2 linked regions of the Anolis sagrei genome follow. The protein of the gene in region 1 purifies or fractionates together with the protein of each later gene. This does not show direct contact. Links are inferred from orthologs where the notes say so. Each region holds a gene or a part of one and is shown on either strand. Other genes may lie near its edges.

Region 1 (15,765 bases):
AATTAGGGACAATCTCAAAGGCCTTGTTCTTGTTTATTCGCAAGGCATTTCGCACAATAGTTCTCCGGCTCTCAAATTACCAGCGGCTAGCTTTATCGTGCATTCCAGGCCACAAATAAAGGCAGCGGGAAAGGTCATGATAGGAGTCGGACGATGCGCAGCTGTTAATATAGTAAGTAGGGGAAGTGGGCCTCGTTCAGCTTGACCAAATCCTTTGGCTTATTTTATAACCAGGCTTAGCATCGGAGCGGTCAGTTTTGATTGGGAATTTGTCATCATTGCAACACTGAAATAGCAGGGATCATGTATAGAATAACACTCTTGACCATCCCACACCAAATGGCAAAACCAATCCCCCCCAAACCCACCAGTATTCAAACTTGGGCATATCAGGTATTTATACCAAACTTGGTCCAGTGAGCACATCCTGCATAGCCGATATTTATATTATGGTTCATAGCAGTGACAAAATAATAATCATAGAATCATAGAATCAAAGAGCTGGAAGAGACCTCATGGGCCATCCAGTCCAACCCCATTCTTCCAAGAAGCAGGAATATTGCATTCAAATCACCCCTGACCAATGGCCATCCAGCCTCTGCTTAAAAGCCTCCAAAGAAGGAGTCTCCACCACATCTCCAGAGAGTTCCACTGCTGAACGGCTCTCACAGTCAGGAAGTTCTTCCTAATGTTCAGATGGAATCTCCTCTCTTGTAGTTTGAAGCCATTGTTCCGCGTCCTAGTCTCCAAGGAAGCAGAAAACAAGCTTGCTCCCTCCTCCCTGTGGCTTCCTCTCACATATTTATACATGGCTATCATATCTCCTCTCAGCCTTCTCTTCTTCAGGCTAAACATGCCCAGTTCCCTAAGCCGCTCCTCATAGGGCTTGTTCTCCAGACCCTTGATCATTTTAGTCGCCCTCCTCTGGACACATTCCAGCTTGTCAATATCTCTCTTGAATTGTGGTGCCCAGAATTGGACACAATATTCCAGATGTGGTCTAACCAAAGCAGAATAGAGGGGTAGCATTACTTCCTTAGATCTAGACACTATGCTCCTATTGATGCAGGCCAAAATCCCATTGGCTTTTTTTGCCACCACATCACATTGTTGGCTCATGTTTAACTTGTTGTCCACGAGGACTCCAAGATCTTTTTCACACGTACTGCTCTCGAGCCAGGCATTGTCCCCCATTCTGTATCTTTTCATTTCATTTTTTCTGCCAAAGTGGAGTATCTTGCATTTGTCCCTGTTGAACTTCATTTTGTTAGTTTTGGCCCATTTCTCTAATCTGTCAAGATCGTTTTGAATCCTGCTCCTGTCCTCTGGAGTATTGGCTATCCCTCCCAATTTGGTGTCGTCTGCAAACTTGATGATCCTGCCTTCTAGCCCTTCATCTAAGTCATTAACAAAGATGTTGAACAGGACCGGGCCCAGGTCGGAACCCTGCAGCACTCCACTTGTCACTTCTTTCCAAGATGAAGAGGAAGCATTGGTGAGCACTCTCTGTGTTCGTCCACTTAACCAATTCCAGATCCACCTCACTGTCGTTTTGCCTAGCCCACATTGGACTAGTTTCCTTGCCAGAAGGTCATGGGGAACTTTGTCAAAGGCCTCACTGAAATCCAGGTATGCTACATCCACGGCATTCCCCGCATCTACCCAGCTTGTAGCTCTATCGAAGAAAGAGATCAGATTAGTCTGGCATGACTTGTTTTTGATAAATCCATGTTGACTGTTAGCGATGACCGCATTTGTTTCTAAGTGTTTGCAGACCGCTGCAAGAATAATAAGAAGAATAAGAATAAGAATAAGAATTTTTATTTATTACCTTCCTCTCCTGGTCATAATCCAAGACTCAAATCATGCTGGCTCTCTTCCTGAAGATATTAGATTGCAAAACAGGTCTTACATCCATTTTATTTTATTTGTGGTAGAATAGCTGCTGCCTAACCATGCCACCTAACTTTTCATGCCTGCGGGTATCTAAAACTGTTGGTGTCTAAACTGTAATTAAATGCAATATTCACATTTTGATATGTATACAATAGTTCATTCACTTTATTTACATCTCAGCTTTCTCCGGAAACAAGGCTGTTTGCCATTTGAAACAAAGACTAAACATAGCAACGATTGCCATTGAAATGTTTGTAAACTTTTGCTAATATTTAAAACAACACTAGACATCCATCACAAGGCAAAAGGAAAAGCAGTGAAAAAAAAAGTACAGCATGAAACGCACAGCGTTTTGCCCAAACTTGTTGGAAATACAGTGGAGGCTCGCGTATCCGACCTTCGCTTATCCGACATTCCGTCTTATCCAACGCTCTGATCCAGCGCCCCCTTTTTCTCCAGCATTTCTCCTTCAATTAAAGGAGCGCTCCCCAACTCTCTCCATTCCCGATAATGGAAAAAGGCAAGACATGGAGGAGGAGAATTCAAAATGATCTGAACAGATTAGAGAGATTGGCCAAAACTAAGAAAATGAAGTTAAACAGGGACAAATGCAAGATACTCCACTTAGGCAGAAAAAAACCCTAAAATGCAAAGATACAGAATGGGGGACGCCTGGGCCAAAACAGATGGGCCAAAACTAACAAAATGAAGTTCAGCAGGGACAAATGCAAGATACTCCACTTATTCAGAAAAATAATTGAAATGCAAAGATACAGAATGGGGGACGCCTGGGCCAAAACAGATGGGCCAAAACTAACAAAATGATGTTCAGCAGGGACAAATGCAAGATACTCCACTTAGGCAGAAAAAAATTGAAATGCAAAGATATAGTATGGGGAACGCCTGGGCCAAAACAGATAGGCCAAAACTAACAAAATGAAGTTCAACAGGGACAAATGCAAGATACTCCACTTAGGCAGAAAAAAAACCTGATATGCAAAGATACAGAATGGGGGACGCCTGGCTCGAGAGCAATATGTGTCATAATTGGAAAGAACAGCCACAGCAGTATGATCATATACCGTAATAAAAAAATCAATGATTATAAGAGCTAAGATAAAGATTTTCAGCAAACAACCATAAATCTGAATTAATCTTAATACGGCACTAAGGCTTTGTTGATAGTATTAAATTGCATCCAGCTCTCATAAAATCAATAAAAGGTGTTAGGAAAATAAGCAATCTTCCCTCTGTGTTATTGTTGTTGTGCCAGTGAAACAACCAAGTGTTAACCTTATTACACAGAGTTGTAGTTGTACAAGCTCTGTCCTTTTATCTACCAAGAGTGTTGAGTGTTCTGTCGCGCGCTGGGCCTGTAACAGCTGTACTTTTCTATAGGACGTATACTTTAAGCACAGCGGGAAGCCGGGGGCCTCGAAGAGAGATTCTCAGGGATTTTTCTGAAGTGATGGTCTTTAGAGTCTTTAATGATACAACAAAGTCTTTATTATGGAACAAACACCAAATCTTCAAAGGTTCAAATAACACTTCAAGACTTTCTTAGTCTAGTCCTCAATGGACTGGTACCTGACTTTGAATAACTGTACTTTCTCTGTAAGAAAAGAACCCTTTTTAACCTCACCTAGGCTGTTTACTATCTATGCCTCATCGGTGTGGGACCTACTACCGATTCCAAATGTATCTGGGTAGCGCGTAGACCTACCAGTCGAGACTTGAAGATATTTCAACTGGAGTTCCGTGGATCTGTAATGCTATTCTCCCTTCGAGAATTCTTAGAAAACTTCAGGGCTGTTCCCTCTGATGCTGTGAGGCTGAGAGGCTGCAAGCTCTCGGCCAGAGTTTTTGGGACCTTTCCCCTGGAATTTCTGCTTCTGTATCCCTGGATGTTAATGAGAAAGGAAGCTTTTCTATGGGACGAGCTGGTCTACATCCTATAGCTTAGCTACCTTGTGTGAGACTACCCCAAAAATGGCTCCTTTCCCTCCCAGAGCCGTGAACAAGGGGCGGAACCAAAGAATCATAGAATCAAAGAGTTGGAAGAGACCTCATGGGCCATCCAGTCCAACCCCATTCTGACAGATGGCCATCCAGCCTCTGTTTAAAAGCTTCCAAAGAAGGAGCCTCCACCACACTTCGGGGCAGAGAGTTCCACTGCTGAACGGCTCTCACAGTCAGGAAGTTCTTCCTCATGTTCTAATGGAATCTCCTCTCTTATAGTTTGAAGCCATTGTTCTGTGTCCTAGTCTCCAAGGAAGCAGAAAACAAGCTTGCTCCCTCCTCCTCCCTGTGGCTTCCTCTCACATATTTTTACATGGCTATCGTATCTAATCTCAGCCTTCTCTTCTTCAGGCTAAACATGCCCAGCTCCTTAAGCCACTCCTCATAGGGCTTGTTCTCCAGACCCTTGATCGTTTTAGTCACCCTCCTCAGGACACATTCGAGCTTGTCAATATCTCTCTTGAATTGTGGTGCCCAGAATTAGACACAATATTCCATGTGTGGTCTAACCAAGGCGGAATAGAGCATGGGGAGCATGACTTCCCTAGATCTAGACACTATGCTCCTATTGATGCAGGCCAAAATCCCATTGGCTTTTTTGCCGCCACATCTTATATCCATTTTATTTGGTAGAATAAATGGTAGAATAGCTGCTGCCTGACCTGACCTGCCACCTAACTTTTCATGCCTGCAGGTATTTAAAACTGTTGATGTCTTAACTGTAATTAAATGCAATATTCACATTTTGATATGTATACAATAGGCTTGGGCGGTTTCGTTCGTTAATTTCGTAATTCGTTATTAATTCATATTTAAATTAGCTTACGATCCGATATTGAGCCATTTTGAAATAGTGTGAGGAGTAATTAAGAATCGAAACAATTTTTCCAATTTTCGTAATTATTTCGTCATTATTTTCGTAATATAATATAATAATATATAATATGTAATACAATATATTATAATAATATAATATAATAATATATAATATAATATATAATATAATGTAATAATATATAATATATAATATATAATAATATAATATACAATAATATAATATAATAATATTATAATAATATAATATAATAATATTATAATAATATAATATAATAATATATAATATAATAATATTATAATATAATATAATATATAATAATATAATATAATATCGTTGTTGTTTGTTTTCTCACACCAACAGTCAACAACAGAGGGAGAGGAAGCTTCAGAAGTTCTCCCTGTCCCATTTGGAGGTTTTTTTAGCATATTGCGCAATCGCGTCCGTCATTAACGAATCGATTCGAAATTTACGAAATTTCATAAATTTCGAACTTTTTTAAAGAAAAAATTCGGAATTCTTTAAAAAAAGGAAACACGAGTTTAGAAACAAATTTTTCCGTTGTTACCCAAGCCTAGTATACAATAGTTATTCACTTTATTTACATCTCAGCTTTCTCCGGAAACTGTTTGCCATTTGAAACAAAGACTAAACATAGCAACGATTGCCATTGAAATGTTTGTAAACTTTTGCTAATATTTAAAACAACACTAGACATCCATCACAAGGCAAAAGGAAAAGCAGTGAAAAATAGTACAGCATGAAATGCACAGTGTTTTGCTCAAACTTGTTGAAAATACAGTGGAGTCCCGTATATCCGACCGCTCGCAGAGCTCAGGTGGTGTTGTATTTCAGTGTCGATGTTGACTTTGTTGGAGAGGTCTTCTCTTGTCTTCCCAAGAGATTTGCAGGATTTTCCGGAGGGAGCGCTGATGGAATTGTTCCAGGAGTTGCATGTGACGTCTGTAGACAGTCCACGTTTCGCAGGCATATAGCAGGGTTGGGAGGACAATCGCTTTATAAACAAGCAGCTTGGACTCCCTACGGATGTCCCAGTCCTCAAACATTCTCTGCTTCATTCGGGAAAATGCTGCACTTGCAGAGCTCAGGTGGTGTTGTATTTCAGTGTCGATACTGACTTTGGTGGAGAGGTGGCTGCCAAGGGAGCGGAAATGGTCAACATTTTCTAATGTTACACCATTAAGCTGTATTTCTGGCATTGGAGAGGGATTGCCTGGTGACTGATGGAAGAGCACTTTGGTTTTCTCGATGTTTAATGATAGGCCGAGCTTCCCGTATGCTTCTGCAAATGCCACACGCACACACAATGCAGCCATTAAACTGAATTGTGGGTTTTGGCACAGAACGGTTGCCAATTACACATCCAGATGTGCTTCGCATCGCTTTTGCAAGTATTGTTAGGCGTTTCACCCTAAGAGGCAAGAACTCCCACCTCTGAGGATGCTTGCCATAGATGCAGGCGAAACGTCAGGAGAAATGCCTCTAGAACATGGCCCTATAGCCCGAAAAAAACCCACAAGAACTTAACTCCCATTGACTTGTGCAGAACTTGGTGCATATTTCAAAGCAGGGAGTCCTATTGACTATTAGAATCATAGAATCAAAGAGTTGGAAGAGACCTCATGGGCCATCCAGTCCAACCTCCTGCCAAGAAGCAGGAATATTGCATTCAAATCACCCCTGACAAATGGCCATCCAGCCTCTGCTTAAAAGCTTCCAAAGAAGGAGCCTCCACCACACTCTGGGGCAGAGAGTTCCACTGCTGAACGGCTCTCACAGTCAGGAAGTTCTTCCTAATGTTCAGATGGAATTTCCTCTCTTGTAGTTTGAAGCCATTGTTCCGCGTCCTAGTCTCCAAGGAAGCAGAAAACAAGCTTGCTCCCTCCTCCCTGTGGCTTCCTCTCACATATTTATACATGGCTATCATATCTCCTCTCAGCCTTCTCTTCTTCAGGCTAAACATGCCCAGTTCCTTAAGCCGCTCCTCATAGGGCTTGTTCTCCAGATCCTTGATCATTTTAGTCGCCCTCCTCTGGACACATTCCAGCTTGTCAATATCTCTCTTGAATTGTGGCGCCCAGAATTGGACACAATATTCCAGATGTGGCCTAACCAAAGCAGAATAGAGGGGTAGCATTACTTCCCTAGATCTAGACACTATGCTCCTATTGATGCAGGCCAAAATCCCATTGGCTTTTTTTGCCGCCACATCACATTGTTGGCTCATGTTTAACTTGTTGTCCACGAGGACTCCAAGATCTTTTTCACACGTACTGCTCTCGAGCCAGGCATCACCCATTCTGTATCTTTGCATTTCATTTTTTCTGCCAAAGTGGAGTATCTTGCATTTGTCACTGTTGAACTTCATTTTGTTAGTTTTGGCCCATCTTTCTAATCTGTCAAGATCGTTTTGAATTCTGCTCCTGTCCTCTGGACTATTGGCTATCTCTTCCAATTTGGTGTCGTCTGCAAACTTAATGATCATGCCTTCTAGCCCTTCATCTAAGTGTAGAACTTGTGCAGAACTTGGTGCATATTTCAAAGCAGGGAGTCCTATTGACTATTGCAGAACTTGCTCCCAGCTAAACTCATGCAAGAGCTGCACCCTTTAAGGCCCATCAGGTTTTTGGCCTTTCGGGCTCCTCCTCCTCTGAAATTGGATCTAAGGCAAGCTGATCTTTGCCCAGCTTGTCTACAAAAGCAACTTTCCCTTCTCTTTTTGCTCAGCTGCCAAAAAAAGAGACAGCCGTCAACGCCATTTTTATTTCCTTAAATTCGTGCTTTGGGGACATGGAAGAACGTCGTCTGTTTTAGACGGAAAAATAACATGGAATTTGCCTTATCCCCGGAAAGTGTCCTGAAATTGTGGTCTGGCCTGGTAAGAGAAGAGAGCAAATAGATAGAGCCGGTTCTCCTTGCAAGAGAATGGCATTTTGCTTGTTATCTCTGCAAAAAGAATGCAAAGGGAGAACAATCTGTTTCGGAAAAACAGAAACTGATAAAAGGAATGAAGTAGTTAAGGCGGAATGTCAGTTCGGATAAAGTCGTTCTATCTCGAACACACTTAAGCAACTCACAAAAGTGTTGTTTCAACATGCCATGAATGGGAAAAACATATTTGCTTTGGATTCCAAAGAGAATAGGCTTGGAGAGTGCCAAGAAAAAAGGCTTTGTTGCTGTGTGTTCAATGTGTTACGTAAAATATCCCGTTTTCTCCCTTTTTCGCTGTAAAGTTTTAGAATTTGCTTCCCTTCTCCTGATACTTTGCTTCATGTTTTATTATATTAGCAAGTTACAATTAATGGCTATTTTCAACCCAAATTTGGTGAGTTGCAGCTTTGGCACAAACCAGCGTTTGTGAGAAGTGTCGTTGAGTTTTGCTTTGTTGTGGCTTTGAGTCTCCTTTAAGAGAAAAGTTGAAATCTTATCACAACAACAATAACAACAATTGGTTTGCTGTGAGTTTGTCGAAGCTTTCATGGCTGGAATGACTGGGCTGCTGTGAGTTTTCCAGACTGTCCGGCCATGTTACAGAAGCATTCTCTCCTGACATTTTGCCAACATCTATGGCAATAACAATTGGTTTGCTGTGAGGTTGTCGAAGCTTTCATGGCTGGAATGACTGGGTTACTGTGAGTTTTGCAGGCTGTCTGGCCATGTTCCAGAAGCATTCTCTCCTGACGTTTTGCCAACATCTATGACAATAACAACAATTGGTTTGCTGTGAGTTTGTCGAAGCTTTCATGGCTGGAATAACTGGGTTGCTGTGAGTTTTCCAGGCTGTCTGGCTATGATCCAGAAGCATTCTCTCCTGACATTTTCCCCACATCTATGGCAGGCATCCTCAGAGGTTGTGAGGTCCATTGGAAACTAGGCAAGTGGGGTTTATATTATCTGTGGAATAATAATTGAAATGCAGATTAAATTTCAACTTCTTTGAATTTAGTGAAGGAATAAAGAGTACATCCACACGGTTGATTTATGAATGTTGGTTTACCATACAACCGAAAGGAAAAGTTTTTTAAAAAATGGCAGCTCATTGAAACCCCTTTCCAACTTTGGAAAGAGGATGCCAAGCTCAGTGCACGAGCAAAAAAAAGTGATTTTAGTTAGAAACAGGATTCTAATATCCATTCTGGAGATCCAGAAAAGACCAGGTTTCCTATTAGCTTTAGTGCAACTTAATGTTAGAGGTAATGTCCTTTGTTTCGCCATTTGATGGAGCAAAAGGGCAGCTATTTCACCGTTGTGTAACCGGCGAACTCAAGTGACCACGGTGACCATTGTGCAACCTTTGAAATCCATGTTGATATATATATTTACATTGTGCTCAAGGTTTCGAGCCAATGTGGGAAATGAGTGAAGTCCAAAATCCATTTTTTCCAGTCCTTTTTTTTTTTTGTCATGTCAGGAGTGACTTGAGAAACTGCAAGTCGCTTTTGGTGTGAGAGAAATGGCTGTCTGCAAGGACGTTGCCCAGGGGATGCCCAGATGTTTTGATGTTTTTACCATCCTTGTGGGAGGCTTCTCCTACGTCCCCACATGAGGAGCTGGAGCTGACAGAGGGAGCTCATCCGCCTCTTCCCGGATTCGATCCTGCGACCTGTCCGTCCGTCCGTCCATCCATCATTGATCTTCTGTCTGTCCATCCATCCATGCATCTATTAGATTCTTCAGACGACAGTCAGTCAGTCTATCTATCTATCTATCTATCTATCTATCTATCTATCTATAATCTGTCCATCCTTCAGTTCATCCATTGGATTCTTCAGACACCTGGTCAGTCTGTCTGTCTGTCTGTCTGTCTGGTCAGTCCATCTGTCCACCCATCCATCCATCCTTGATCATTGAATATCCGTTTGTCCGTCCATCCATCCATCCATCCATCCATCCATTGGATTCTTCGGACCCCTGGTCAGTCAGTCAATCTGTCTGTCTGTCTGTCTGTCTGTCTCTCCCTCCCCCCCCCCCTCTATCTATCTATCTTTAATCTGTCCATCCTTCCATTCATCCATTGGATTCTTCAGACACCTGGTCAGTCAGTCTGTCTGTCTGGTCAATCTGTCTGTCCATCCATCCATCTATGCATCTATTAAATTCTTCAGACCCCTGGTCAGACAGTCAATCTGTCTGTCTGTCTCTCTGTCTATCTATCTTATCTATCTATCTATCTATAATCTGTCCATCCTTCCATCCATCTATCGATCTATCATCTATTCATCCATCCATTCATCTATTAGATTCTTCAGTCCCCTGGTCAGTCAGTCAGTCAATCTGTCTGTCTATCTATCTGTCTGTCTGTCTGTCTGTTTGATTCTTCAGATACTGGTCAGTCTGTCAGTCTGTCTGGTCAGTCCGTCCATCCATCCACCTATCATCGATCATTGATCATCCGTCTGTCCATCCATCTATCCATCTATTGGATTCTTCAGACCCCTGGTCGGTCGGTCGGTCGGTCGGTCGGTCAGTCAGTCAGTCAGTCAATCTGTCTATCTATCTATCTATCTATCTATCTATCTATCTATCTATAATTTGTCCATCTGTCTATCTGTCTGTCTGTCCAACCATCCATCCATGCATCTATTGAATTCTTCAGACCCCTGGTCAGTCAGTCAATCTGTCTGTCTGTCTGCCTATCAATCAATCAATCAATCAATTAATCAATAAATCATCTGTCTGTCTGTCCAACCATCCATCCATGCATCTATTGAATTCTTCAGACGCCTGGTCAGTCAGTCAGTCAGTCAGTCAGTCTGTCTGTCTGTCTGTCTGTCTGTCTGCCAATCAATCAATCATCTATCTGTCTGTCTAACCATCCATCCATGCATCTATTGAATTCTTCAGACCCCTGGTCAGTCAGTCAATTTGGCTATCTATCTATCTATCTATCTATCTATCTATCTATCTATCTATCATCTGTCTGTCACCGAACATCCATGCATGCATCTATTGAATTCTTCAGACCCCTGGTCAGTCAGTCAGTCTCTCTCTCTCTCTCTCTCTCTCTCTCTCTCATATCTGTCTGTCCGTCCAACCATCCATCCATTTATTCATTGGATCCTTCAGACCTCTGATCTGTCTGTCTGTCTGTCTGTCTGTCTCTATCTATCTTATCTGTCATCTGTTTATCCGGCCTGCTCTTCTTCAAGGAAGAAACCCAGCCTTGGTTGTCTTTGCATTCCATGGCAGTTGGTACCCAGGCTGGGCAGTTGCCATGCCAACGCCTCTGATGCTGGGACCTTTCTCCTCTGCCTCTGTTCTGGGATCGGCCAGGTGGTTTGGAGGGGTGCCTTTGCACCCCAAAAGAGGAACTTTAACCACCCTATCATCTCCAACCCATGTTCTAGATCCTTATCAGATATGGACAAGAAGCCAGTTTCCCAGCAAGGAGAAAAGCAATCTTCTGTAAGTGGCCTGGAGATGAGGAATCACCTGGCATTGAACCATCCAACTTTGGCATCTGAAGCTCTCAACAGAAAGTAGATACTAATCTCTGCCCCACGTGCCTGCGGTCCATATGAAACTTGTACTTGTATATGAATGTAAACCCCTTTTGAGAGTTTTAGGCTGACATAGTTTAGTGCAGACCTGGGCAAACTTGGTCCCTCCAGGTGTTTAGGACTCCAACTCTCACAATTCCTAACCGTCAAGTTTGCTGCCTTCTTTTTGTTCTGTTGAATTATATATATTACTAGCCCTCCCCTGCCACACGTTGTATGGCCCAGTCTGTAGAGATGTGTTTTGTGTGTGTATATATATGTGTATATGTGTGTATTTATATATTTGTGTATATGTGTGTTTATGTGGTTATGCGCATGCGTTGTAATTTTTTTTTGGCTTTTTAAGTCTATTCCGCTGTGTTTTTCAGTGTTTTTATGAGTAACTGTGGCCAAACCTTCCCTCCCTCTTTCTTGCCTTTCATTCTCTCCTTCCTTCCCTCCCTCTTTCCTTCCTTCCCTCTTTTTCTTTTCCTTTTTCTTTCTTTATTCTCTACCTGTTTCTTTCCTTCCTTCCTTTGCTCTTTGGTTCCATCTTTCCTTCTCTCCTTCCTTCCCTCCCTCCCTCTCTCTCTCTTTTGTTCCTTCTCTCCTTCCCTCCCTCCCTCCCTTCCCTATTTTTCTTTTCCTTCTTCTTTCCCTTTTTCTTTCTTCCTTCTCTATCTGTTTCTTTCCTTCCTTCCTTTGCTCTTTGGTTCCTTCCTTCCTTCCTTCCTTCCTTCCTTCCTTCCTTCCTTCCTTCCTTCTTTCCTTCCCTACCTACCTACCTACCTACCTACCTACCTACCCCTTTCTCTCTTTTGTTCCTTCTCTTCTTCCTTCGTTCTCTCCTTCCTTCCCTCCCTCCCTCTTTCTCTTTTGTTCCTTCTCCCCTTCCTTCCTTCCTTCTTTCCTTCCTTCCTCCCTCCCTCCCTCTTTCCTTCCTTCCTTCCTTCCTTCCTTCCTTCCCTCTTTTTCTTTTCCTTCTTCTTTCCCTTTTTCTTTCTTCCTTCTCTACCTGTTTCTTTCCTTCCTTCCTTTGCTCTTTGGTTCCATTCTTCCTTCTCTCTTTCCTTCCTTCCCTCCCTCCCTCCCTCCCTCCCTCCCTCCCTCCTTCTTTCTCTCTTTTGTCCTGTGTGCCAAGTTTGGTTCAATTCCATCATTGGTGGAGTTCAGAATGCTCTTTGATTATAGCTGAACTATAAATCCCAGTAAGTACAAATACCAAATGTCAAGGTCTATTTCCCTTAAACTCCATCTGTGTTCATATTTGGGCAATATGGAATATTCGTGCCAAGTTTGGTCCAGATACATCATTGTTTGAGTCCACAGTGCTCTCTGGATGTGGGTGAACTACAACTCCCAAACTCAAGGTCAATGCCCACCCTTCTAGTGTTTTCTGTTCGTCATGGGAGTTCTGTGTGCTAAGTTTGGTTCAATTCCATCATTGGTGGAGTTCAGAATGCTCTCTGATTATAAGTGAACTATAAATCCCAGCAACTTCAACTCCCAAATGACAAAATCATTTTTTTTTTGAGTGATGGTCACTCTTTGTGTTGTGAGACCTTTTGTTGCCAAATTTGGTGTGATTTCGTTCATTGGTCCTTTTGTTCTTAAGGTACTCATTACGCATAGAGCATTTATATATAGAGAGAGGGACACTCGTTGGCTTGATAGGTGTCTTCTGTCCAAATTTGGTGTCAGTTCATCCAGTGGATTTTGGGTTAAGTTAATCCCACAAACGAACATTACATTTTTATTTATATAGATCAGGGGTCCCCAAACTACGGCCCGCGGGCCACTTCCGGCCCACCAAAGCCACTTATCCAGCCTGCGGAGGAGGAGTGCCCCCCCCCACACAGTGCCCCTCCCTTGGCTGGCTCACGCTATCCATCAGGCCCGATGGGCAGCGTGAGCCAGCCAAGGGCAGCTGCTCCGCGCGGCCTACTCGCGCGTAAAGCACTTCGCAAGATGCTTTACGCGCGAGTAGGCCGCGCAGGGCTGCTCCTCCCTTGGCAGGCTCACGCTATCTGTCAGGCCCAATGGGCAGCATGAGCTAGCCAAGAGAGGCTGCCCCGGCGCTCCATGCAGTCATGCCGGCCACATGACCTTGGAGGTGTCTACGGACAACGCCAGCTCTTCGACTTAGAAATGCAGATGAGCACCACACCCCAGAGTCAGACACGACTGGACTTCATGTCAGAGGAAAACCTTTAACTAGGAAAATTGTGGAAGATCCAGGGTGGGAGAAAGAACTCTTGTCTGTTGGAGGTAGGCATGAATGTTTCAATTGTCCACCTTGATTACCATTTCATAGCCTGACAGTTTTTAGGGAGAATCCTTTCTTGAGAGGTGATTAGCTGGCCCTGATTGTTTCTTGTCTGGAGTTCCCCTGTGTTTGAGTGTTGTTCTTTATTTACAGTTATAATTTTAGAGTTTTTTAAATACTGGTAGCCAGATTTTGTTCAGACTAGAAATAGGAAGATTTCCCATTCTCTGCTCCTGGAATTACTGCCTAAAGAGGGCGAGAAAGAACCCCCTCCCTCTAAGGGTCCTTCCACACAGCCAAATAAGATATGTACAATGTGCAGAGGAATTTTTTTATTGATTTTTTTTTAAAAAACTATAGTCTGGCCCTCCAACGGTCTGAGGGACAGTGAACTGGCCCCCAGTTTAAAAAGTTTGAGGACCTCTGATATAGATGGTGCAAAAATGACAGCTAACAGTATTGCCAACCGCCAAAGGCAAGATTTCCATAGTAGGAGGGTGTGAAATATCAGGGGACTATAGAGAGATCTTGGAAGGATTTTCCAGTCAGCAGTCCCACCCAAGTTCAAAAGGAGTTAGAGAGGAAGGAAAAAGGAATGTCAACTTACCTAAGATATCAAGACTTGGAACACAACTTCAAGGTCTTTGTGTGGAAACCCTCCTGATCGGACACTGCAGGGTCCATTCTGTTTCCAATGATAGATGCGTCCCTCCTGAAACATGAGAACTATTTTTAACGTATCGCCACTCCCACCCAAGCTGTTTGGATGGAGAAGGAAAAAGAAATCCTTCCTAATTTCTTGGTTTGTGAGAAACTTTTTCCATACCGGAGATGCAGAGATGTGTGCGCGCGAGAAGGCATATAAACTCACTGCTTAGAAAAATTGGCCAATCTCAAACTAGTTGAGTTAAGTAGGTCACGGCAAAAAAAATAACTTAAGAGTTCTGGCGTATTCTTTTGAATCCTCTTTCGCCGGAGACGACGTGTCCGATGGGATGGCCTGTGAATCTGATTCCGTACGTTTTTGTCGGTTTATGGGGTGGTTATGGTTACATATGTTCACGTTTTATTACTTTTTTGGGGAACACATTCCATTTTGGCTCGCCTGCTACGGAATCCCTGAAGGTCTAACGCAATTCCAGCATATAGTGGAGAATTCTGGAGTTTGTGCACGTTGGTGGCGTCTCTGAGAGAGAACATTTTGTTGGAGCTACTGGTGAAAAGCTGCTTTGGAGTATAAGTTTCCAAGTTTTCCTTAGAACAGTTGGGAAGACCTGTTTGTAGAAGGGACGGACATCCTTACTTGTGGATGGGATCTCCACCATCTCCAACACATGTTGGAAGTTCAAAGTTGGCCTTGAAGTTTGTGGTTTTGATTCCAATTGTCTCCAAACATTGTTGATTTCCGTTTGCTCCACAAAGCTCACCAGATCAATAATTGTTCTCTTGCTTTTGCCTTTTGTGAATGCTGATGTTGAGGCATTTGTGGTGTTGGAAGTTCAAAGTTGGACTTTGTGTGCATGGTTTTGAGTCCTGTGGATCAAAGCCATTTGTCTCCAAACGTCGTTGCTTTCCGATTGTTCCACAAAGCTCTCACCAGATCAATAATTGTTCTGTTGCTTTTGCCGTTGTTCTACTGCCTTTTGCGAATGTTGACGTTGAGACATTTGTGGTGTTGGAAGTTCAAAATTGGACTTTCTGTGTGTGTTTTTGAGTCTTGTGGATCAAAACCATTTGTCTCCAAACATTGTTGTTTTCCGATTGTTCCACAAAGATTACCAGATCAATAATGGTTGTCTTATTTCTACTGTTGTTCTATTGCCTTTTGTGAATGTTGATGTTGAGGCATTTGTGATGTTGGAAGTTCAAAGTTGGACATTCTGTGTGTGGTTTCAAGTCCTATGAATCAAAACCATTTGTCTCCAAACGTTGTTGCTTTCTGTTTGTTCCACAAAGCTCACCAGATCAATAATTGTTTGCTTGCTTTTGCCGTTGTTCTACAGCCTTTTGTGAATGTTGATATTGAGGCATTTGTGGTGTTGGAAGTTCCAAGTTGGACTTTCTGTGTGTGGTTTAGAGTCCTGTGGATCAAAGCCATTTGTCTCCAAACGTCGTTGCTTTCCAATTGTTCCACAAAGCTCTCACCAGATCAATAATTGTTCTGTTGCTTTTGCCGTTGTTCTACTGCCTTTTGCGAATGTTGACATTGAGGCATTCGTGGTGTTGGAAGTTCAAAGTTGGACTTTCTG
Region 2 (16,346 bases), on another chromosome or scaffold:
ACATTCCTTTGCTTTAACTGGCTTCACAGACTGCTGTAGTTAAGTTGGTTTTAAAGACCACTTACATGCTTTCATTGCAGATCAGCTGCTGAAAATTGTGAGCTTGATGGGTGCTGTCATCTGCAAGCAGTGAAACATCTTATGGGGCTTATTTTCATTGAGGACCATATCTTTCTTTCCTAAACAAGTTTAATTCATTTAATTGTGACTGAGATTTTAGAACATATATGGACAAACTTTGGCCCTCCAGGTGTTTTGGACTACAATTTCCACAATTCCTAACAGCCTATTGGATGTTAGGAATTGTGGGAGTTAAAGTCCAAAACACCTGGAGGGCCAAAGTTTGCCCATGCCTGTTTTAGAGGAATATGAGCAAATAATATGGTGCAATTTTTAAGAAGCTGATTTTATTTCAAACTCTCTTTCTGTGTGTGTTTAGGTTTGGGGACACATATATAAATGATACATTTTGCTAGGGCTCTTGTAAGACAAAGATGTTACTTGGGTACAGAGAAACCGCTGTTCAGAATTGCGTTTTTTGCACGGGGTTCCATAGTTACCACTTTAAGCAAACACAGGTCAGTTGAATTTAAAAATATCAATCCAGAGGTAGCCATGTTGGCAACACAGCAAAATATAGCCATGGTCTTCAAAAAACATATCATGGTTATACCATTATTAGGCCAACTAAAAGTTTTTCAAGGTCTCAGGTTCTTAATAAGGCATGGGTGTTAAAAGTCATTTTAGTGGAAGAGCCGTGACAAAAGGAGGCTACAAAGCTGCATCTTTGCTGGGATAGTAAAGCTGAAGATTGTTAACATCTTGGCACCATCTTTAGAACTCAGATTTAACATCTCATAAATGTTGCCCGTCTATGGCCCCCACCTTCATCCTCTTTATTCCTTTGCAACATTTAGCATTTGATGAAAGGCTGTGAGCTCTGAAAGGTAATTGTGTGCCTTTTGATCAGCCTAACCAAGGCATCTTGGCCGTGTTTTTTGGACTCTTCTAAATTTTAAAGAAAATTTTATTCACTCAGTGTGCCTTAGTCATACTTGGATTCAGACAGACTGTTGAAAATATTTTACATTCAGGGTTATACTTTATGAGAGTTGCCATTTGGATATCAAACAACTTTGTCCCAAAGGCAGCCTGTTTTATTAGCTGTAAAGAGAAAGGGTATAAATTATAGTTTTCCCATATGTGTGTGTGTGTGCGTGCGTAAATGTGTGTGTTTATCAGTATGCGTGTACATTCACACACACATATATGGAGAAAAGTGTAATATACATTCACATACACACTGTTCAGATTTTTTGTGTGTGTGTGAATGTCAACAGGTCATACAACAGATTGTGCATACAGATGCTGCTCTGGTCAGCTTTGAGTCAAGCAAGAGCAGTGCCATCTAGTGGGAAATATCTAGAACAGTTAATATTTAAAAAGGAAAACACAACACAATTTATTATTTTTACTATGATCTACTATAGATTGTGCTGCCAAAAATGAGTGGGAGAGATTTTCATATTTAGTCGGGTCTAGTGCTCACCTTCTTTGGCAAAATTGCATCACTAAAATTCAGGTGCACATTAATTCGATGGTGCATTAGAATCGCAGAGCTAAACCGATCTGCGCTGTTAGGTAAGAGATCCCAGCTTGGGATAGACGGTGGCTGTGAAAAGCCTGGTGGGAAGGCCAGACAGTGAGGTGTGGCTTCCCACCAGACTTTTCCAGGCCACTACCTGCATCCTACCAGGCTGGACATAGGGACATGGCTTCACCGTCTCCACCATCTCGCATTACATTCACCAGCAAATCCTTTTTTTTTTTTTGTAAAGCACAGCTTCAAAACTGAGGTGCCCATTATTCGATGGCACATTATACTCAAGTAAATATGGGTACATCAAACTGTTCTAAATTATAATGCAGTACAAGCCTTTTGCTCCCCAGTTTATAAAGCACTGCATTGGAATGAGTGCAAATCTTTAAATCTAGCACATTATTTTATCTTGTGCCACAACTGCAGTGCATTTACGACTTGCACTGGGTATAAGGGAGGGCTGACTAGGGATAGAGAAAGTGTGCATGGATCTTCTACTGATCCTCATGGCTTTCTCACTATGTTCTGTGTTCAGGCAATTGAAAAACCAGGTTGTACTGTATGTTATTGAGATTCTTGGCACATAAGTAGACATAGTTGTTTCCCCTTTATTAAAGTATCACAGGATGTTCCCTGAAAATGAAGATACCAAGGTAATAGAATCATGGAATTGGAAGAAACCTCTTGGGCCATCCAGTCCAAACCCCTGTCAAGAAGCAGAAAAATCTCATTCAAAGCACCTCTGACAGATGGCCATCCAACCTGTTTAAAAGCCTCCAAAGAAGGAGCCTCCACCACACTCCGGGGCAGAGAGTTCCACTGCTGAATAGCTCTCACAGTTAGGAAGTTCTTCCTAATGTTCAGGCAGAATCTCCTTTCCTGTAGTTTGAAGCCATTGTTCTGCGTCCTAGTCTCCAGGGCAGCAGTCCTTTGCCCTCGGCATGATTCCAATCTGTCTTTTGGAAATGTCACAATTCAGGTAGCCCTAACCTGCGTCATGTGTTTGAAGTGGTCATTTGAAGTTTCTGTACTGTAAATATACTAGTGATTATGTTGTGGGGCCCTCATTGCCTTACATGTTTTCCCTTGCTAATAGCCATTGCTTTGCTATGTTTTTTCTCCTTCAGAGAGCATCATTATCCACCAGTTACGCATGAACACAAGATGAAACACTGGCCACTCCATTCTGGACTTAAAAACTTCCTTCTCTGCGCTGCTTGGTTGGATCATTTCCGAAGCTCCACTTCTGCCACTGTCCTCTTCCATGCTACTGATGATGTATGGAAGGAATTTACTTCTTCTGTCACAATCTGAGGGGTTTTGTGCAGATTTTAATTGTTTGTTTTGTTTTTTTTTTTTAAAAAGAAAAATGTGTTTGCTGATTTTTTAAAAACGAGATGGAAAAGGAATTACATCTTCTGTGCCAGTTTTGCTCTAACTCTGAATTCATTGGCACCTGCTTGATTTTTGTTTGAAGTTTCCTACATAATTTATTTTTATAATACACTTTGTGATGCAGTGTTTTTTTGTTATGTATTTCCCTCCAACTTTGATTTTTGTTGTTTGTGGCACGTTCATTTGTAGAATAACACTGTCAAAACTGCCATTGCCTGTGTGGAGTCTATGAAAATGTTGACTTGACCTCAAAGATGGCACTTTTTCGAGGAAACTTGCCACAAGGTTACCTAGCCATAATATGACTGTGAGATTAGTTGCCCTGAGGACTGCTTTGTGAGGATAGTTTTATAGTGGGGTTTTGCCTCTTGCACTGTGCGATGGTTTAATATAAAACCGAATACCAACAAACCAAAGCCTTGAAACTGTGTTAGATGCTGAGGTCTATTAAAACAATGCTCATATATTGTGTGCTTTTACATACACCTATACCAAAAAAAGTTCATTTTTATCACATTGTAACAAATAAATTTTCACAAGTGTGCAACACTGCTATGGTGTCTCAGTTGTACCCTTGTGATAGAAGACAGTTAAGACCTTATTGGCAGTTCAATAAGATTTAGGGGTGAGGGGGTATTTTTTTTCTTCGTGTCAGAAGCAACTTGAGAAACTGCAAGTCGCTTCTGATGTGATAGAATTGGCCATCTGCAAGGACGTTGCCCAGGGGTGACCTGCTTATTGATGTTGTATCATCTTGTGGGAAGCTTTTCTCATCTACCCGCAGGAGAAGCTAGATCTCGACAGCAGGGAGCTTATCCCGCTCCTCAGATTCAAACCGCCTGTCAGTCGACCAGTTTTTGCTGGCACAAGGGTTTAACCCATTGTGCCACTGGGGGCTCCTGGAATGGGGGAGCTGATTCCTTGTGAGTCAAGTATTGACTCAATATAGTTCAGTCTTATGCAGAGTTTAATACACCTAAGGTGATTTATTTCTCTAAACCGAGGAACATTTGTCAACATCAGTTCATGCTGTAGGTTGGGCGGCTATGATAAACTCCACATTGCTATATGCAAGAAGGGGAAAATGGAAGGAAAAAGGAAGAGGGGCCGACCAAGGACAAGATGGATGGATAGTATCCTTGAAGTGACTGGCTTGACCTTGAAGGAGCTGGGGGTGGCCAAGGCCAACAGGGAGCTCTGGCGTGGGCTGGTCCATGAGATCACAAAGAGTCAGAAGCAACTGAACGAGTAAACAACAACAATATGCAAGAAGGCATACAAACCTAACACTGTGTACCTATAGAAGAAATGTCAGGTCTGAAATGAGCAATGCAGCAGTGATGGCAGTGGCTGGGATCCAAAGATGTTTGCATAGGAGACTAAATTGGTTTTGCACATATATCAATATTCTGTCTTCTTGCTACAGTAAATGACTTCCCTGAAGGTCTCTTAACCCTTGATAGTTTTTTAAAAAAATAAGGATGGACATGTGGAATGAAACATGCACAACTCTCAGGACTTCAGTCCATTTTTATTTGTTCATTGTCATTCAAGTTAGTGCAAGAACGTCTAGTCCCTTAGTTCCCAACACGGTGCATATACCCCACAGTGGGGAAATTTGATTTTTAAGGGGGGCAATTTGAGAATGAGTTATTAACAGGATTTTTTTTTGCATTTCTTACAGTTCTTGGGGCCTCATATAAAGTATATAAATACATATTGTAACATAAAAGGTAAAGGTTTCCCCTTGACATTCAGTCTAGTCATGTCCGACTCTGGGGTGTGGTGCTAATCTCCATTTCTAAGCTGAAGAGCCAGAGTTGTCCGTAGACACCTCCAAGGTCATGTGGCATGAAGCACCTTCCCACAGAAGTGGTACCTATTGATCTACTCACATCTGCATGTTTTTGAACTTCGAGGTTGGCAGAAGTTGGGGCTAACAGTGGGATCTGACCCAGCTCCCCAGATTCGAACCGCCGACCTTTCAGACAGCAAGTTCAGCAGCTCAGTGGTTTAACCCACTGCGCCAGTGGGGGCTCCATACTGTAACATATTCATTTTAAAAATTAAAATCAGAATTTACATGGCAATCAGCTGGTGACAATGGAGAAGGGGAGAGTCCACTCATAGAGTGTTGAGAGCATGGAGTTAACTAGACAGCAGAAGAGCACAGAAAAGCACAATTATTACTTTCATAGGTAAGTCAGTATTTTTGTATAATTTAAAAAAAAATTCAGGCGCAAGAAAATTAACATCTAGTGAGAGCATATTCTTGTATTTTCTCACCAAATACATGCAATGAAATTGGACACTTAAAAGTTTCCCTGAATTCTCAATTCAATTTGTTCTTCTATTTTTCTCTTTCATGGATGCCATGTTCTTTGGAAGCTTGTTTAGAGCAAGTTAATGGCCTTTCAGGCTTCCTCCAAGGTCACAGGGGTTCGCTTTTTACATAATAAGAATTATGTGTCACCGGGGGGGGGGGGGGGGTGGTGATCAGGATTTTAGAGATGCTTAGGTGTAACATGGTAAAAAAAGGGGTTGGGAACCACTGGTCTAGACACTCTCTACTGGTGTTTTGCTTGCAGCTATGGCTGGCATCCTCAGAGCATATTTATTTATTTATTTAGGCTCGGAGAGGTTTACAATATACACATGTGATACATTACATATAAAATCAAGAAGAACTTCGATCAGCAAAATTCAAATGCCGCCCTAAAGAAATATTTGCCTGTATATGGCCTCCAGCTACAACAGCTACACGGCCATAGCATGTACTCGAGCTGAGAGTACTTCAACGGCCTAGCTGCCCGACCATAGCAACACCTATTGAATGACTCCTTGTGTCTTAATTGTATTACATCAAAACTAGAATGAAGTCCAAAGAAAATAGTGCACACATCTGAAACAATTATATCTTGTAAGCCTCTCTGAGTCCTGAGTCCCCTTCGGGGTGAGAAGGGTGGCATATAAATGTAGTAAATAAATAAATAAATAAGCAGCAGGACATGATACCCAAGCAAGAGCTGTCTACAACTATAGTAGCTACTGATGGGTGATCTCTCAGCTACCCCTCCTACCAGTCACTACATGGCTGTGAGGCAGCATAGGAAAAACTGACCAATTTTCAGAGATTCTTACACTGAGGAGAAACATACTTAAAGTCTTGTCAAAAGTATTGTTGAAGGCTTTCATGGCCGGAATCACTGGGGTGTTGTAGGTTTTTTCGGGCTTTGTGGCCATGGTCTAGAGGCATTCTCTCCTGACATTTCGCCTGCATCTATGGCAAGCATCCTCAGAGGTAGTGAGGTCTGTTGGAACTAGAAAAAATGGGTTTATATACATACTTAAAGTCCTTTTCTCCTTTATGGGAACCACAAACTTAAAGAAATACATTTCTAGTTGGTAGCTGCCACAGGATATTAGGCACGGATTGCAGTCACAAGCCATAGCAACGCATGCTCCTTTTTTTTGGATGTCTTTCCCTTGCATTTTCTGACCTGCATGATAAAGACAGGATCTTCAGCTTTTGGAGTTGTTTGTCCCATCTCAGCCCACGGGCAACAGCCACAGTGGATGATATTCCTTCTTATAGATTTGTGCTTCGAGGCTGATGAGCCCTGAGGGGCATGCAAGTACCGCTTTGGAAAGGGTGCACATGCGGGCCTCTTTCCACTGCCAAGAGAAGCATTTTGCCCTCAAGGGCTTGCATAATGTCACAGTGAATCGAATACCTGCCTAATTATGGTTCAGAGAAACCAGCATCTTCCCATCCAACAGAAATGATCAAAGGCTTGGAAACCAAGCCCTATGAGCAACGGCTGAGGGAGTTGGGTATGTTTAGCTTGAAGAAAAGCAAGGCTGAGAGGGGACATGATAGCCATGTCTAAATATTGAGGAAGGACAGTCTTGTTTTCTGATGCTCTGGAGATCAGGACACAGAGCAGTGGATTCAAATTGCAGAAAAAGTGACTCCACTTAAACATTAGGAAGAACTTCCTGTTGGTAAGAGCTGTTTGGCAGTAGAATATGCTGCCTTGGAGCTTGGTGGAGTCTTTCTCAGGAGGTTGTTAAGCAGAGCCTGGGTGGTCATCTGTTGGGAATGATTGTGTATTCCTGCGTGGTTGAATGAAGTTGGATGGGTGGCCCATGTGCTGTCTTGCAACTCTGTAGTTCTATGAACCTGTGAACCACAAGGTGGTTTCCACTTATAATGGCTACATTATGACACATGCAAAATAGTTGCGACTAGCATTGCACCAATCTTTGAAAGAAGATTGAAGGCTTTGAAAGGGTGCTTACATATTTAAACAGATTTTTAATTATTTTAATTGTTTTAAATCTTTATGGTACTATTCCATCTATTGATTCTTAATACTCTTACGTTTAATTCTATTTTAATGTTTACCATTATGTCTTTTCGGTTTTAGATTGTACATTTTAATGATATTTTTTATCATTGTTAATCTCTTTTAAGAGAGAAAAAGTGGGATATAAATGATAAATAAATGACAACAATCAAGATAAATAATAATAAAGACAAGCAACAATAATATAAACAAAAATACCTAAAATATAAAAATACAGATTATTTAAGAAGGGGTTTAATATTTTAATAATTAATAATTAACAATAATAACCATTGATGTTATTGTTTTTAGATATTTTAACTCTCTGGTATTTAATGCAGACGTTTACCAATTGTTATGTTATTTTAAGGCATTGAATAGTTGCCAATATGTGAGGCTGCTCTGAGTCCCCCTCGGGGTTGAGAAGGGCAGGGTACAAATCTATATAAATAAAAATGTAATGTTCGTTTTTGGTATTCACAGAACTCAAAAACCACTGGACGAATTGACACCAAATTTGGACGCAAGACATCTAACAACCCAATGTATGTCCTTCACTCAAAAAAAATTGATTTTGTCATTTGGGAGTTGTAGTTGCTGGGATTTATAGTTCATCCACAATCAAAGAGCACTCTGAACTCCACCAACGATGGAGTTGAACCAAACATGGCACACAAGACTCCCATGACCAACAGAAAACACTAGAAGGGTTTGGTGGGTATTGACCTTGAGTATTGGAGATGTAGTTCACCTACATCCAGAGAGCACTGTGGACTCAAACAGTGATGGATCTGGACCAAACTTGGCACGAATATTCCATATGCCCAAATATGAACACAGATGGAGTTTGGGGGAAATAGACCTTGACATTCGGGAGTTGTAGTTACTGGGATTTATATTTCACCTACAATCAAAGAGCATTCTGAACCCTACCAACGACAGATTTGGGGGAAACTTCCCACATAAGAACCCCCATGTCCAACAGAAAATACTTAAGTCCATCCAGTCCAACTCCCTTCACCAGGGCAAGAAAAAGTAATCAAAGCCCTCCTGACAAAGAGCCATCCAGCCATAGATATTGATAGATATGATTCACACACACAGAGATATAGTATCATAGATTTGAAAGGGACCCCTAAAGATTGACAATTATATGTTGCATGTTCCAGAGTAGGCAAACCAGACCCTCTCCACATCAACAATGACAAAGAAACAGCAAGAAATACTGATTACCCACAATGAGAACACTTTCGCATTACTTTATTTTCCAGATCACCAGACTGGGCCACAGTAACGTGTGGCTGGGGATGGCTAGTATGATAAATAAATAAATACATAAATAAATATATTTTAGGGCTGGGCTAAGATTTAAGGTCTAAGGCAACAGAGCGGTTTAACCCACTGCGTATATTTTAAGTTGTGATGTTTTTGATGGTGAGCCACTTTGAGTCTCTGTATGGAGAGATAAAGCAGGATATACATAAATAAAAAACCCTAATAATAATAATAATAATAATAATAATAATAATATCTTTATTGTATCCCGCTTTTCTTCCACCAAGGGACCCAAAGCGGCTTCCAACATCTTAAAACAGTACAAATCCAAGAAAAACGCATATAACGCCTAAATACCAAACCATAAAACAGCGCAGAAATAAGATTTTAAAACAATAATCCAGTGGTTCTCAACCTTGGGTCCCCAGATGTTTTTGGCCTACAACTCTCAGAAATCCCAGCCAGTTTACCAGCTGTTAGGATTTCTGGGAATTGTAGGCCAAAAACATCTGGGGACCCCAGGTTGAGAACCACTGCAATAATCAATAAATCTTAGCCGTGTTCAATTAAAATACGAATTCATCTCCAATTTTTTTCATATGAGGAGCGACTTGAGAAACTGTAAGTCGCTTCTGGTGTGAGAGAATTGTCCGTCTGCAAGGACGTTACCCGGATGTTTTGATGTTTGTGGGAGGCTTCTCTCGGGTCTCGCCTCCTTCCCAGTGCGCATGCGCGCAAGTGGCCCCGAGCGAATCCTCCTCCGAACGCCGCAGGGCGGGGTGAGCGAGGAGGAGTGGAACGTATCCTAGCGGCGAGCTAAGTAATAAAAGGAGACGACGCAGGGTCCTGGCAGCGTACTGCGCCTGCGCACGGCGTCGAGGGCTATGTGGGAGGTGTTGAGGAGCCCGGAAGGAGGGGAGGGCTGCTGCTGTTGCTGCTGTTTGGGCGTTGTTGGCGCAGGCGCAGTCGCGGCCCTTATACAGCGCGGCGCGCGCGGCGGGTGGCCAGTGTCAGTTGTCGCCGTTGCTGGCGGCGCTTCCTGTTCCGCCTCTCGCGCGGCCCTCCTCCCCCTCCCCCGCCTCCATGGCTATGAACTACAACGCGAAGGAGGAGGCGGCGGCGGCGGCAGCGGACGGGCACCCGTCGGGGATGGCTTCCATGCCCGGGGGGAGCGGCGGCGGCGGCGGGGGCTTGGGCGGCGCGGCCCGGTCCTCGGTGGGCGCCGCCAAGAGCCGCAAGCCGGACAACACGGCCTTCAAGCAGCAGCGCCTCCCGGCCTGGCAGCCCATCCTCACGGCCGGCACCGTCCTGCCCGCCTTCTTCGTCATCGGCCTCATCTTCATCCCCATCGGCATCGGCATCTTCGTCACCTCCAACAACATCCGCGAGTATGAGGTAAACAGCTCCCTGCCCGCGTCGCCCCTTGCTCGGCTCTGACGTTTGGTCCGCCACCTTGTTTGGACTTCAACTCCCAGAAGCCCCGGCTGGCTTGGCCAACGGCCAGGGACTCTGGGAGATAATAATAAGAATAATGAACCTTATTTCTACCCCGCCACCATCTCCCCAAGAGACTTGGAGCGGCTTACATGAGGCCAAGCCCAACAACACATCAATAAACCAAAAGCAATAAATACAATACAATTAATATAAATCACATATAATAATAATAATAATATTTATTTATTTATTTGATCAGCCATATGACCATTTCAAAATAGAACACGAGTAAAAAACAAGACAAATAAATACTAAATCACATATAAACAATAACACATAAGGATTTAAATACCTGTGGCCAGGTCAAATGTAAGAGTTAAAAAATTAAAAAAATAAGCGCTGGGCATGAACGAGGTAGGATATATCTGGTATAGGGTTTTAAAAGAGATGAGGGAGCGCAGTCAATCCTAAAGTGCACCCTGAGGACATATTTCTGGGAATTTTCCTTATTCTGGGAAGGCACACTGGAACAGCCACGTTTTCAGGCTCCTCCTAAAGACTGCCAATGTTAGGGCATGCCTGATGTCCTTGGGAAGTGAGTTCCAGATTCGGAGGGCCACCACCGAGAAGGCCCTCTCCCTTGTCCTCACCAATCGCGCCTGCGAAGGAGGCAGGGGTGCGAACAGGGCCTCTCCAGATGATCAAAGAGATTGTGTGGGTTCATACAAAGAAATGCGATGAAGTCCAACAGCTCTGGAAGGCCAAGGGTAAGAAAACCCTACATCATCGCTACTGTTAGCCACCTTCTCAGCCTCAGGTCCTTTCTTTTTTCTTCTGAGCTACTTAAGCCAAATTCCCAACCAGAGCACCATTCCACTTTCACTTATTGCACTCATAAATTATCTGAACACTTGGTCCCATATCCAAGTTTTCAGTTTTCCCCTTAAAAGAAAAGAGAGTTTTTCCCCTAAAGGAGAGAGGGGGCTAATATGATGTTACTAGGAAGGGAGTTACACAACCAAGGGGCTACCACTGAGAAGGCCCTGTCTCTCATGCCCAACAACTGCACCTACGGGGGAGGAGGGACCGAGAGCAGGACCTCCCCAGAGGATCTTAAGCTCTGAGATGGTTCATAGAGAGAGATATGTACATCAGAGCCCCTCCCCCAGCAACAATATAATATTATATAATAATATTATGAATGATGTATTAGTACTATACTAATAATATAGTATGTTGTATGTACATATGACTTGTAAGCCACTCTGAGTCCCCTTCGGGGTGAGAAGGGTGGCATATAAATGTCGTAAATAAATAAATAGGTAAGCTGGACCAAAACCATTTAGGGCTTTATAGGCTAAAGCAGTAGTTCTCAACCAATAGGTCCCAAGGTGTTTTGGCCTACAACTCCCAGAAATCCAAGCCAATTTACCAGCTGTTGGGATTTCTGGGAGTTGAAGGCCACAACATCTGGGGACCCATAGGTTGAGAACCACTGGTCTAAGGCCTCACTAAACTACAAAGCCCAGAATTCTGCAAAAGGCAGCAACAAAATTTCAAGTAGGGTGCACACGCTCTACCTCCCCAAACTAAGGTCCACGGCTGGATGTGACCCTCCAAGGTAATTTACTCAGCTCCCAGCCTTAGCATGACCCTAAATCTGAAACAACTGGAAGGCACTCAACAACAATGATCTTAATTAACTTGACTATCTCATCAGCTAGAAGCAGGCCCACACTTTCCATTGAAATACTGCCAATATGTGTTTGGGCTTGGCCCCATGTAAGCCGCCCTGGGTCCCTTCGGGGGGATGGAGGCGGGGTATAAAAATAAAGTTTTTCTTCGTTTTAAATATTTTATTGTCCTTTTTTTACACTACAAATAAAATAGTTCAGTGTGTATAGGAATTATTTCATGTTTTCTTCAAGTTTGAGGATCTCTGCTCAATACCTACTCATTAAAGTGTATCTCAGTAATGATGAGAAGATGAAAAATATACCCTTGAGTGCACCTATACTGACACCACTTGGACAGCCATAGCTCTATTCTATGGGATACTGGGAGTTGTAGTTTGGAGAAACAACAGGATTATTTGCCAGGGAAGGCCAAAGATCTTTGAAAGTACATCTTCCATAGCATTGAGGTGTGGCAGTGAAAGTGGTGTCAAACTGTGTCAATTCAATAGTGTAAGTGCACCTAGATTGTTGCTACTCTCCTCCACCATCTCTCTCCCCCTCCCCCCCCCCTTTCCAGGACTAAAAGCAACAAGTGAACAAGGACAAAGGGTGCCTCTACACTATAAAATGAATGCAGTTTGACACCACTTGAACTCAATGCTGTAATGTTCTGGGATTTGTAGATTAGTAAAGCGGCAGCAGCATATGGCCGAAGAGACTAAAGACCTTGTAAAACTACAGCTCTCATTCTATATAATTGTACCATGACAGTTAAAGTGCTGCCTTAGTCCAATCCTATGGAATTTAGGGATTTGTGGTTTTTCGACACTCTTTCGGCAAGGAGGCTAAAATCCTTGCAAAACAACAACTCTCATGACTCCATAGCAGAAGTGTGTTAAACTGCATTCATTCTAGAGTGTAGGTATGCCTTAAATGTTGTCATGGCAGTTAAATTGGAATCATAGCACTATGACCATGTAAGAGCCAAGTTGTCTTGAGAGGTGAGGCAAGCAGGCCTTAGCAAGTCCCAGACTTCTCTTGAGATAGAAAGAAGGCGATGGCCTGACCTAACTGGTTTTTTTTTGGTTGGCATTATTAAGAAACCCTTTGAACTGATTAATGGCCATGGAGGTGACACAGAGCTTAGTGACGGTGTTAGGAAGGAGATCAGTATTTTGAGGAAATGGAAAATGATGGCACACCCTGCTCACTGTTGCTTTGCTGTGACTTGTGCGAGGTCCAGATCCGCTTGAAAACAATAGCTCCTTTGGGATTATTGAATAGTACCTAGAAATACCAGTCAGTATGATCGGTTAGCTGTGCTGTTTGGAAGAATCTGGGAATTGTTGTTCCACCCAGATAACTTTTCCAAGTTTTGATCCAGGTAAAGGAATGTATCACATATAGGCCTAAATATTGTTGTTAGTCATGGCTAGAGTAGATACATCTGTGTTGACTCACAATTCAGCAATAGCTTGAATAGGTTCTATTTAGACTTAACCAACAGGATACCGGCCATGTTGTTACATATTTGCATGACAGTCATGACTGCACATATAGAGATTAATGTTACCTGTATCTGATGGATGCATTTATGTATAAGATTTACTTAAGATACTTGCAGAACTTTGTGAATAGCTCACATCTTGTACAAATCAGATCTTTTTTAATCAGCTGTTTCCTACGGTTTTTTCACTGATATGAGAAATGTAATGATGAATGGACATAGAAAATGGGGGAAATAGTGTTTGTATGTAAAGCACTCATTGATAAATTACTAAACTGCTAGCGAATAGAGTTCATTACAACATTCATATTCTGTTGGTTTTTCATATTATGGTATGTATTGTAAGTTGAAATGCGTTTCCTTGTGGAAAGAAAAAAATGGGGTATAAATAAACAACAACAACAATAATTAACCCTCCATTAGGCCTCTTCAACCTGCAGCCTTCCAGGTATTTGGACCACTAACTCCCAGAAACCCTTGCCAGCTTATTCAATGGTCGGAAATTCTGGTTGCTGATGTCCAAAATACCTGCAAGGCTGCAGGTTGAAGATTTCTGCCCTGTAAGTCTAGAAAATCAACCAAAAAAAACCTGGGACAACTTATCTATAGGTCACTATCATAACTTATCTTAACTATTTTTTAAAAAGGAATTATTTCCCTGTCTGAATAGCGTGGCAGAATACAAGAGCTTAGCCTGTCCTGGAAGAACCTAAAAAGGACACTGCTGTGACTCTGCTTCTGGCATTTTCAAATGCATGGGTGAGGAAATGTCAGGGATGGCCCCCTGAGGTATGTCGGCCACTTTTCTCTCTCTGTGGAACAACCTTCAAATTATTCATGGGTCAAATAGAACGCCATAATTTGGTCCCCAAAACCCTCCCCGAGTATATATAATAATTAAAAGATGAATTCAAAACTTCATCCCTTTTTTGAGTTGAGAGTATTCATAAAGCCCCCCCCCCCTCCCAATGACCATATTTGATGCAATACTGGCTTATGACACTGACATTCTGTGCCTTTCTCTCCTCCTGACCTGTTTGTACATTTGAGAATTCTAGTTACATGGTATTAAACAGGATAAAAAAGCTAAGATTATAGGAGATTAACATTTACAGCCTTTTATGACCTTGATTTCTGAAGCAGTTGATGAATGTTGGAATATGTAATGATGCAGACTTTGATGGAGAGCCATATTATAGGGAAATATGTTGTGATGGATCTAGTTATTCTTGATATGGAGTTAATTGTTGAGGAAGACATTATGATGAAACTAGTTACTGTAAGTCCCCATTGGACTTATACAACATTGGGATCTTTATTATTCACAACTAACAGTGAATAATAAATATCCCAATGTATGAATGTTTAGAATTCTGATCTGGTAAGCATCAAGCTATCAAAGATTCAGGATATAAGACAAAGTAAAGTGTATGTTAAGTTTGCAGGAAATACGGGAAATAAATAAAGTTGAGAGTAGGAGGAAGAGAAACAGTAAGTTTAAAAAGGATAGAAAAATATTAGTAAATTGGTAGAGTGGGGGTATGAAGTATTCAATTTGTGACATTGGACAATAGGCTTGATTAGGCAGAAGCTTAAAAGGCCATGTTCTGGAGGAACAGAAAGCTTAGTTGATTGAGTAAAAACAATAGTAGGAAAAACTGTGCTTTAGATACAATAGTTGAAACTTAGAGGTAAGGTGCAAATAAGGGCTATGTGAGATCAAGGTTCATTGAAGATCACTTTTAATTGCTTTCATTCAGAAAACTGAATCAATTAAGAAATAGTTGAACTTAGGTTGACCACTACTTCAAAAATTATCTTTCTCTACGTGAGAAGGAAGAGGGCCCCCCAACTCTGTTTTGTGGATTTTGAATACATGATACATTAGAATTATTAATCTTACTTTTGTCCTATAGATAATTGAAACTGTTCAAGTGTTTCTGCTGTTTTTGCTAATACTGTCTAGCAGCCTTTGTCTTCCTTTGTGTTCAGAAAAATGGACATGGAAATATTCAGAGTTGCAGGGGACACACATTTCTCATAGGTCTATGCAATCTGAAGGGTATTGATATAGACAAATAGACTGTCTTTCTAGATATGCATATTCATTACACTTTTTTTGCTCATATTCTGGGTGTGCTATATTTTTTGTGTTACAATGGTTAGGAAAGTAATTACAACCAAGAAATGTAAGAATAATGTTGACAGAAAACTGGTTATACAGAAAACTGGCTATACATAGTAATCTTAAATAATCCTCTAATAGTTTTGTGAGTATTAAATTGACAGCAGATTGTTAAATTATCTCATGGAGAAAGTCAGTTCTCCTCAGTAAGCTTACATCCAAGTTTTGATGGGCTACTGGTTTTGATGATATGTTTGTCTTCAGCATTTCCCTGCATAACGTAGCTATACTACAAGAGTTCTATTTTTGGAATTGTGAAGGTGACTTGAAATGTAAGAAGTATTCAGGAAAGGGAACTAGGGTTCTTAAAGCCAAATCTGGTATGTCAGTAGAATTGTGAATGGCAGCTTGGAGATACTTCTTCTATTGTCCTTTAGAATATGACCCAAGTTGGTGGGTATGCTTTCAAGTACCTTGAAGATTGATATTTTTCAATGATGGGATGAGAAAGTGGACTTAATCCAATACAGGGTAGGGATGGTGATAAAACATCTGCTTGACTGTGACTACAACTATATGAAGTGGCTTGTTGAGCTAGGTGCTGTGTGCCAGAGAAGGGGAATGTGTTTCCCTCCACATTGAAGATTCCATCAGTCCTAACTAGGATAACTCAGGTTGAGTAATGGTGGGAACTACTATCCTTAATAATGTCACTTCATAAATAGAGAAATTCTACTAGTCTGATTTATTCTTCTTCTGGACATTACCATACTAGTCAACTAAAAACACAGCTGTAACATTATACAAGCATATCAGGAAGTACTTTCAATTAAGTCTTTGGAATCATCAGGCATTACTATGTTTACCTAGTTACCTAGTTTCTTCCAGCTTTTTAACATGTTTCTGAAACTCCAAGGAATATGTTAGTGTAGATTTAGAAGACATGCTAGGATTTCTGTATTTGGTTTTAAATATTAGTCAA

Evidence for each region.
Region 2: the proteins of ATP11C (region 1) and TMEM30A purify together in Homo sapiens (co-immunoprecipitation; 4 studies listed by BioGRID and IntAct, with this or other methods). This does not show direct contact. The link is inferred for Anolis sagrei from reciprocal best matches to the Homo sapiens genes ATP11C and TMEM30A.

What each region holds. Positions count from the first base shown.
Region 1 is NC_090030.1:26,808,398-26,824,162, reverse strand, and holds the start of ATP11C (phospholipid-transporting ATPase IG), read left to right. Parts: upstream 1-7,461; 5' UTR 7,462-7,598; coding exon 7,599-7,649; intron 7,650-14,496; exon of another isoform or gene 14,497-14,511; coding exon of another isoform or gene 14,512-14,532; intron 14,533-15,765. UniProt on the Homo sapiens protein: Catalytic component of a P4-ATPase flippase complex which catalyzes the hydrolysis of ATP coupled to the transport of aminophospholipids, phosphatidylserines (PS) and phosphatidylethanolamines (PE), from the outer to the inner leaflet of the plasma membrane.
Region 2 is NC_090021.1:110,950,819-110,967,164, forward strand, and holds the start of TMEM30A (cell cycle control protein 50A), read left to right. Parts: upstream 1-9,548; 5' UTR 9,549-9,702; coding exon 9,703-10,014; intron 10,015-16,346. UniProt on the Homo sapiens protein: Accessory component of a P4-ATPase flippase complex which catalyzes the hydrolysis of ATP coupled to the transport of aminophospholipids from the outer to the inner leaflet of various membranes and ensures the maintenance of asymmetric distribution of phospholipids.